Linked DNA regions of Macaca fascicularis. The protein of the gene in region 1 purifies or fractionates together with the protein of each later gene. This does not show direct contact. Links are inferred from orthologs where the notes say so. Each region holds a gene or a part of one and is shown on either strand. Other genes may lie near its edges. The genes, in order: TSR1 and RPS3.

Region 1 (3,908 bases):
CACAGCCGGAGGGGGGTTGCGCACAGCGACGGGGGATCGGGGCGGGGAGAGGCCGTGCGCGCCTAGGGGCGGCAGACCCGGGCGCGCGCCACAGGGGTCGCTGTCATGGAAACGCACCCGCTCCCGCTGGAGGGCGCGAAGCCGCATTGTGAGCGCCGGCCCTGGGGCCCGCGGCCCGGCGGCTGAGAGCGAGCCTCGGTCCCGCTCAATGTCCCCTGACTTCTCCCTGCTCCCTCTCCCGACGGGACGGAAAGGGCCGGGGCTCGGGCACGGAATCCCCTGCGGTCCGAGCCTGGCCACGGCGAAGCCGGTGCAGCCTGGCCCCGTGACCCCTCTGAATCCCCGTCCGGCCGTCGCCAAGTTTCTGGGAAGATTAGTGGGAGCGCAGCCGCCGGAGCCCGAGGGCCGGAGGGTCGCAGCCAGTCCCCCTCGCCGGGTCGCCACGTCCCACAGGGTCCTTCCCTGCCGCTCCGTGGGAGGCGGGGCGCGGGTTGGAGTAACAGGGACGGGCGTGAGCTGGTAAGGAACCGGGCAAGGTGAGAGAAGTGTCTTCCACGCGATTCCCAAGCCTCGCTAGGGAATTGAGGGAGAAGAAAGGTTGCTCAGAGTGATAAAGAACACGCCATTGCAAATGGAAGAGCAACATGCCCGAATCTAGGTGACAGGAAGGGCTTAGGCCTTTTCGGCACGAATGGAGCCTTCCAGTCAACATGTTTCTATGTGATGCAGTTTTATGGCGCAAAAAAAATGACAATGCAAGGGGCACAAACAGCCCTGCTGGACCAATAGCCCAAGCCTCGAGAGTCTACATCGGGCGCCTTCAAGCCTCCAAACCACACACTACAGCGTGGGAAAACTTCCCATCGTGGCTTGGCAGAGCGACTAACGCGGCGCGCTTTGGGGTGGCTGGAAAAGACCGTCGCGGGAGGGCGCAGGGAGTCCCGCCCCACTGAGAGCCCGCCCCCTTGGAGGGGACAGGAAGCGTTCGTCCTGGCCCGGAAGCAGTGTTGACTGTACACGCGCGCTGCGGCATGGCGGCTCACCGCCCCGGTCCGCTCAAGCAGCAGAATAAAGCTCATAAAGGCGGGCGGCATCGGGGTCGGGGATCTGCACAGCGGGACGGCAAGGGTAAGAAGATAGCGTAGAAGGAATAAGGGCTATTTGGCCATTATTAACTCTTTTTCCCCATGCCCAGACTGAGCTTTCTGTCTCCCGTCTGGGCTCCACGCGAAAGGCCCTTTCTAAGGTGGGCGGAGAGGAGTCCCTTTTCTTGACCTTGTTATGGGGTCGATCACACCAGCCCCTTCTAATATGCCCTTCAGGCCGTCTAGCACTGAAAACCCTAAGCAAGAAGGTGAGAAAAGAACTCAGCAGAGTCGACCAGAGGCATCGCGCCAGCCAGCTCCGAAAGCAGAAGAAGGAGGCGGTGAGAGGAGCGGGATTTGGGAGAGTGCGGCTTCTCTGCTGTTCTAGGTGGCTATTGCCTGGAACTGGAAAATGAGACCGGGTGGGGGTCCAGGGATAGAGCATAGCCCTAGAGCACGTGTCGAGCCTGCAGGTCTAGCATTTTTTGCTTTCGTCAGAATTCCTGCCACCCCGCCGACATACCTGTGGTCTGCTACCAGAGAGATGCTGGTTGTGGGTAGAGGGGGCATCTGTGGGAATGGAAATTCAATGCTGGCGTGAAGTACTGACACGCTGAGATGTTCTCGGATATCTTTCTATTTTCAGGTTCTGGCAGAGAAGAGACAGCTGGGTGGCAAGGATGGCCCTCCTCATCAGGTACTGGTGGTGCCCCTGCACAGCAGAATTTCCCTGCCAGAGGCCATGCAGCTGCTTCAGGATAGGGACACTGGAACAGTACACTTGAATGAATTGGGAAACACCCAGAGCTTTATGCTGCTATGCCCCCGCTTGAAACATCGGTGGTTTTTCACGTCAGCAAGGCCAGGTTAGAGTATACACCAATATTTTCTATTATGTTTGAGTAGTGGTAATTTTTTTTTTTTTAGTATAATATGCTGGTGCCAGCCACCTCTTCTTACTGTGTCTTCTGTCTCCAGGGGATCTGCACACTGTGTTAGACATGGCTAAAGTAGCTGATACCATCCTGTTCCTTCTTGATCCACTAGAAGGCTGGGACAGCACCGGCGATTACTGTCTTTCCTGCCTCTTTGCTCAGGGCCTTCCCACCTATAGTAAGTGAGTTAACATTTATTGTGCACCTATAATGTGTCAGGCACTATGCCTGGCATTTTATATAGAAGTACAACTGACGGATCATATTCAACTGATGGTGGGATGTATACATATGGATTAAACTTGATCCATTGTTTACAGATTATCACTCAGTGTGTCTTTTTGTTTTTGGCTCTCCTTTGCCCAGAGAAACAAGGATATGAAGTTTGATTTCACTGTGAAATTCCTTCAGGGTAGTTAAGTGTTGGGTTTCCCAGTGATCTCTGGGCTTGCAACTGAGCTATTAGGTTGTTTGTGAACTGCGGAGGGATTTTTATGTAATGAAGCAATAGGTCATGAAGCATTTTCTCTTTTGCTTACAGCACTAGCTGTCCAGGGGATTTCTGGCCTCCCACTGAAGAAACAAATAGATGCCAGGAAGAAGCTAAGTAAAGCAGTGGAGAAGCGCTTTCTGCATGACAAATTCCTCTTGTTAGACACTCAACAGGAGGCAGGGATGCTGCTTAGGCAGTTGGCTAACCAGAAGCAACAGCATCTTGCGTTTCGAGATCGGCGGGCCTACCTGTTTGCCCATGCTGTTGATTTTGTTCCTAGTGAAGAGAATAACTTGGTGGGCACCTTGAAAATTTCAGGCTATGTTCGAGGGCAGACTGTGAATGTCAATAGGTTGCTGCATATCGTTGGACATGGCGATTTCCAGATGAAACAGATAGATGCCCCTGGAGACCCTTTCCCTTTAAATCCTAGAAGAATTAAACCCCAGAAGGACCCAGACATGGCAATGGAGGTAAGACTGATATTCTTAAATCATGTTCATGTGAAAGTTGGCACAGGAAGGAAACTTAAATTCGGAGAAGGTAGTCTGTTCACTTAGGTGAATGAGGAGACTGCTAGTCTGAAGTAAGGCAATAGTCAGTTATAAATATGTTGATAAATCACATTTATCCAGCACTTTCTGGGTACTCTGCACTGCAACTGGCTCTGAGTTTATAGAACACACTCAAGACGTGGTTGCTTTCCTCAAGGGACTTAATTGGGCTGGAACAAAATGGCGTCTGTGAAATAAAGATTGAGATAGCATATGGTTAAGGTGTGGATCAGCAGTGGAAGTTGAGAAAGTAGACTAGCAAGCTTCACAGAAGAGATCAGACTTGAGCAAGGTGTTGAGAAGGATGAATGTGATTTATGAGTTGAAGAAGGATAAAGGAATATTCTAGAAGATAGAGACAGAATGAACCTAGGCACAGTGGTGGATCAAAGGGTTTATTTGAACCTTGAAAAATCAGCTTGATAGCAGTGAGGTATGTAATAAATGGGTAGGAGTGGGAGCAGATTAAGAAAGACCTCAAGAGCCAAGCAGAGACTTAAAATACCCTGGAAATTAGAAAATGGCCATTTGAAAAGTTTTGACAAGTTTTAGCATTCTGTTGCATTCATCTTCTACATGAGGACTGATATTTCTGGGTCTTTCTGGTTACTATATTAGATTTAGGAGATTTTTGGTTCATGGTTGGCTATCACCTGCTTTTGGTTTTCAGATTTGTGCTACGGATACTGTAGATGATATGGAAGAAGGCCTTAAGGTCCTAATGAGGGCAGACCCTGATAGACAGGAATCCTTGCAAGCAGAGGTTATCCCAGATCCAATGGAGGGAGAGCAAACCTGGCCCACTGAGGAGGAGCTGAGTGAGGCAAAGGGTTGGTATTGG
Region 2 (3,908 bases), on another chromosome or scaffold:
AGCCATTAGCAGAACAGGCTTACAAAGTTAAGCCCATTATTCATTAAGAGAATTTCAACAAAGTTGTATCAGTCCATTTGTAATGAACAAAGTCTCCCAGTTTTTAGAAGTTATCATTCTGAAGAGCCATTATCTCTGGCATACGCCAGAATCACTCACCTCTACACTGCCCTCTGGAAAGCCAAACCTCTTCTGAACTACAGCAGTCAGTTCCCGAATCCGCCGGCCCTTCTCACCAAGAACATTCTGTGTTCTGGGCGGGGAAAAAGTGACAATTCATGACTCTCACAAATGCTAGATTTAACTTTAAATCTTGCATATATATGTGGTAGCAAAATCTCTGCCACAAAGCATATAATTTTCATTGACAAAAACTAAAGTTAAATTTTCAAAATGCAGCTTTTTTTGAGACAGGGTCTCTCTCTGTCACCCAGGCTGGATCACACCAATGGCTCACTGCAGCCTGGACCTCTTGGGCTCAAGCCATCGCCTGCTTCAGCCTCTGGAATAGCTGGGACCACAGGTATGCACCACCACACCCTTATCTTTTTTAGAGAGGGGGTTTCCGCATGTTGCCCAGGCTGGTCTTGAACTCCTGAGCTCAAGCGATCCTATGCCTGGCCTTAAAATCCAGCTTTTAAGAAGCAATTACATTCACTAAGCCCAGACTCACTGGCTGTCTATCCCCTTAAGTTCACAAAGGACAAACCAGCCAGGCGCGGTGGCTCACGTCTGTAATCCCAGCACTTCAGGAGGCCGAGGTGGGCGGATCACGAGGTCAGGAAATCGAGACCATCCTGGCTGACAGGGTGAAACCCTTTCTCTACTAAAAATACAAAAAATTAGCCGGGCATGGTGGTTGGCCCCTGTAGTCCCAGCTACTCAGGAGGCTGAGGCAGGAGAATGGCAGGAAGCTGGGAGGCGGAGCTTGCAGTGAGCAGAGATCTCACCACTGCACTCCAGCCTTGGGGACAGAGCAAGACTCTGTCTCACAAAAAAAAAAAAAAAAGGAATAAACCAACTTAGCATTTACAACAATTATAGGTGATGGCCAGTCAAGTGAGTTTTACCTGGTGGCTAAGATAATGATTTCTGTCCTGGTTGGTGTAACTCGCACCTCAACTCCAGAGTAGCCATCTTCAGCCAGCTCCCGAGTAAGAAACTCATTCAGTTCAGCTTTGAAGATGCCATCAGCGACAAACTAATCCAAAAAAAGCGAAGTTCAAAATTAGGACATCGGTGTAGGCTCACTTTCGCCTGAGCCAGTGTCTTATTAGTCAATGCATCCCTCCCCAAAACTAAATACCTCCAACCAATGGTTCCAAACCCTTGTTCCAACAGGAGTGCAGCAACCCTTCTCAGACAAATGCCTCTAGGTCATCTTTAGGAAGTTACTTCAACCAGGGCCCTTTAAACTGTGCCACAGAATGCAGCACAGAGTAGGCAACCTGGGCGAAGGCAACACCCCCAAGTCAGACTCGTCATCATCTCTTCATCGAAGGGTTTAAAACAGTTCCACATGCAAAACAAGAAACTGCTCTAAAATAGCCTATTTACACTTCACTCAGCACAGCAAAGACACTGTACTTGTCACTGTGAAGGAACAGAATAGATAGTGGACTTAACATACGCTCTCTCACTTGCAGACACAACCTGGACCGTCTAAAGAATCCCAGCCATGTTATCTGGCCTTACGGTACCTGTGGTTTTAACTGTAAACAGAGCTGGAAAATCCTAACTCACAAGAGTTGTGGATTTAATTTTAACATCGAAGTGTAGGTATACGAAATGACAAACTGTCTATTTTTAAAGCTAATGATTTTTACACAGTTCTTTCCCATGGAATAACAAAGCGTTAAATCCGAGGCAGCTTCCTCCCGGGGTCCTCAGACGGAGCAAGCAATCGTCAGTAACCCTTCATGTTGAGGTCGTGGGACCAGCAGACTGTACCCAGACTCGACCAGTAAGAAGACAAGTATACACTGCTGCCTCCCCTTCCCAAAACCATGGGATAAGACATGAGGGAAATGACACACGCCCTCAAAATGCCACGTTTACTAATTCCATTGACCAAAAAATGCTCACAAACGCCTTCTCCGGGACAGAAGGGGCGCCTGGTCCCCATCTCTCTGCGCTTCACTCGGAACCAGAGAAAAACCTGTCTCTCCCTTACCCGGCCACACAGCGCCCGCCTGGCTCGGGCCTCTCACTCAATCCACCGCCATCCGCGGCCCGTGGGAATGCCAGGAGGCCTAAGCCGCTTCCCAGGGCAGGGCACGGAGCTGCAGGCCTCGCGGTGGCACCCGAGAAGCCCCTGACCCTCGCGGCGCAGTCGTTCCCCGAACCCAGTCCCCAGAGGCTCACCTTCCTCTTCTTGGAAATTTGCACGGCCATCTTGCCGCCGCGCTCCGCCGAAAGAAAAAGAAGTGGCGGGCGGGCGGAAGTGAGTATAAAGGGCGCAAGCGACGACGCAGGGCTGCGCTACGTGGACGCCTATGGGTGCTCATGGGAAATGTAGTTTTTACGTAAAGAAGGCGTCAAGGGAAGGAAGAGTGTAGGCAGGAACAGCAAAGGGGGTTCGACCAGCAGGACTGCTAGACTTCAGAGGATCTTAGAGTTCAATTCGCTTTTTTTTTTTTTTTTTGAGACGGAGTCTTGCTCTGTCGCCCAGGCTGGAGTGCAGTGGCCGGATCTCAGCTCACTGCAAGCTCCGCCTCCCGGGTTCACGCCATTCTCCTGCCTCAGCCTTCGGAGTAGCTGGGACTACAGGCGCCCGCCACCTCACCCGGCTAGTTTTTTGTATTTTTTAATAGAGACAGGGTTTCACCGTGTTAGCCAGGATGGTCTCGATTTCCCGACCTCGTGATCCGCTTGTCTCGGCCTCCCAAAGTGCTGGGATTACAGGCTTGAGCCACCGCGCCCGGCCGCGAGTTCAATTCTCATAGTTTAAAAACAAGCAATGCGAGGTGCAGAGGTGGAAATTACAGGTATAAGTTCACACAGCAACAGAGTTTAACCAGCGTGGAACTCTGGCCCCTACAGTTTCAGGGTGGACATTGTAATGAAAATCTGCTGAAATCCCTCAGTGAAATTCATTTAAGACTCCTCTTTGGGAGGCCAAGGCGGGCGGATTACTTGAGGTCAGGAGTTAAAGACTAGCCTGGCGAACATGGTGAAACCCCGTCTCTACTAAAAATAGAAAAAGTAGCTGGGCGTGGTGGCAGGCACCTGTAATCCCAGCTACTCAGGAGGCTGAGGTGGGAGGATTGCTTGGACCCGGGAGGTGGAGGTTGCAGTGGGCGGAGATCCCACCACTGCACTCTAGCCTGGGCGACAGAGTGAGGCTCTGTCTCAAAAAAAAAAAAAAAAAAAAAGAATGTCCCCCAGTCTGTGCCCATTTCCTCCATTCCAAATGATAATAAAACCTGATATTTACTAAGTGTCCTAGGGACTGTGTTCTGTGCCCTTTATGTTGTTTTCATTTACTCCACCTTACTTTCATCAAGTCCATTACAATTTGTAACAGAAGTCCCAGAGAGTGGCTCGTGTGCCCGCCCGCCCTCCCTCTCTTCCTTCCTTCCTTCCTTCCTTCCTTCCTTCCTTCCTTCCTTCCTTCCTTCCCTCCTTCCTTCCCTCCTTCCCTCCTTCTCTCTCTTTCTCTCCTTTCTTTCTTTTCTCTCCCGTTGCCCAAGCTGGAGCGCAGTAGTACGATCTCAGCTCCCTGCAACCTCCACCTCCCAGGTTCAAGCGATTCTTCTGCCTTGGCCTCCTGAGTAGCTGGGATTACAGGTGCACACCACCAAACCCGGCTAATTTTTGTATTTTTAGTAGAAATGAAGTTTCACCACGTTGGCCAGGCTGGTCTTGAACTCCTGACCTGAAGTGATCCACCTGCCTCACCCTCCCAG

The links.
Region 2: the proteins of TSR1 (region 1) and RPS3 purify together in Homo sapiens (co-immunoprecipitation; 4 studies listed by BioGRID and IntAct, with this or other methods). This does not show direct contact. The link is inferred for Macaca fascicularis from reciprocal best matches to the Homo sapiens genes TSR1 and RPS3.

The regions. Positions count from the first base shown.
Region 1 is NC_088390.1:2,454,458-2,458,365, reverse strand, and holds the start of TSR1 (pre-rRNA-processing protein TSR1 homolog), read left to right. Parts: upstream 1-1,003; 5' UTR 1,004-1,031; coding exon 1,032-1,128; intron 1,129-1,322; coding exon 1,323-1,426; intron 1,427-1,731; coding exon 1,732-1,951; intron 1,952-2,063; coding exon 2,064-2,198; intron 2,199-2,561; coding exon 2,562-2,986; intron 2,987-3,737; coding exon 3,738-3,897; intron 3,898-3,908. UniProt on the Homo sapiens protein: Required during maturation of the 40S ribosomal subunit in the nucleolus.
Region 2 is NC_088388.1:74,281,109-74,285,016, reverse strand, and holds the start of RPS3 (small ribosomal subunit protein uS3), read right to left. Parts: upstream 2,425-3,908; 5' UTR 2,395-2,424; coding exon 2,365-2,394; intron 1,502-2,364; exon of another isoform or gene 1,354-1,501; intron 1,202-1,353; coding exon 1,071-1,201; intron 254-1,070; coding exon 160-253; intron 1-159. UniProt on the Homo sapiens protein: Component of the small ribosomal subunit. The ribosome is a large ribonucleoprotein complex responsible for the synthesis of proteins in the cell. Has endonuclease activity and plays a role in repair of damaged DNA.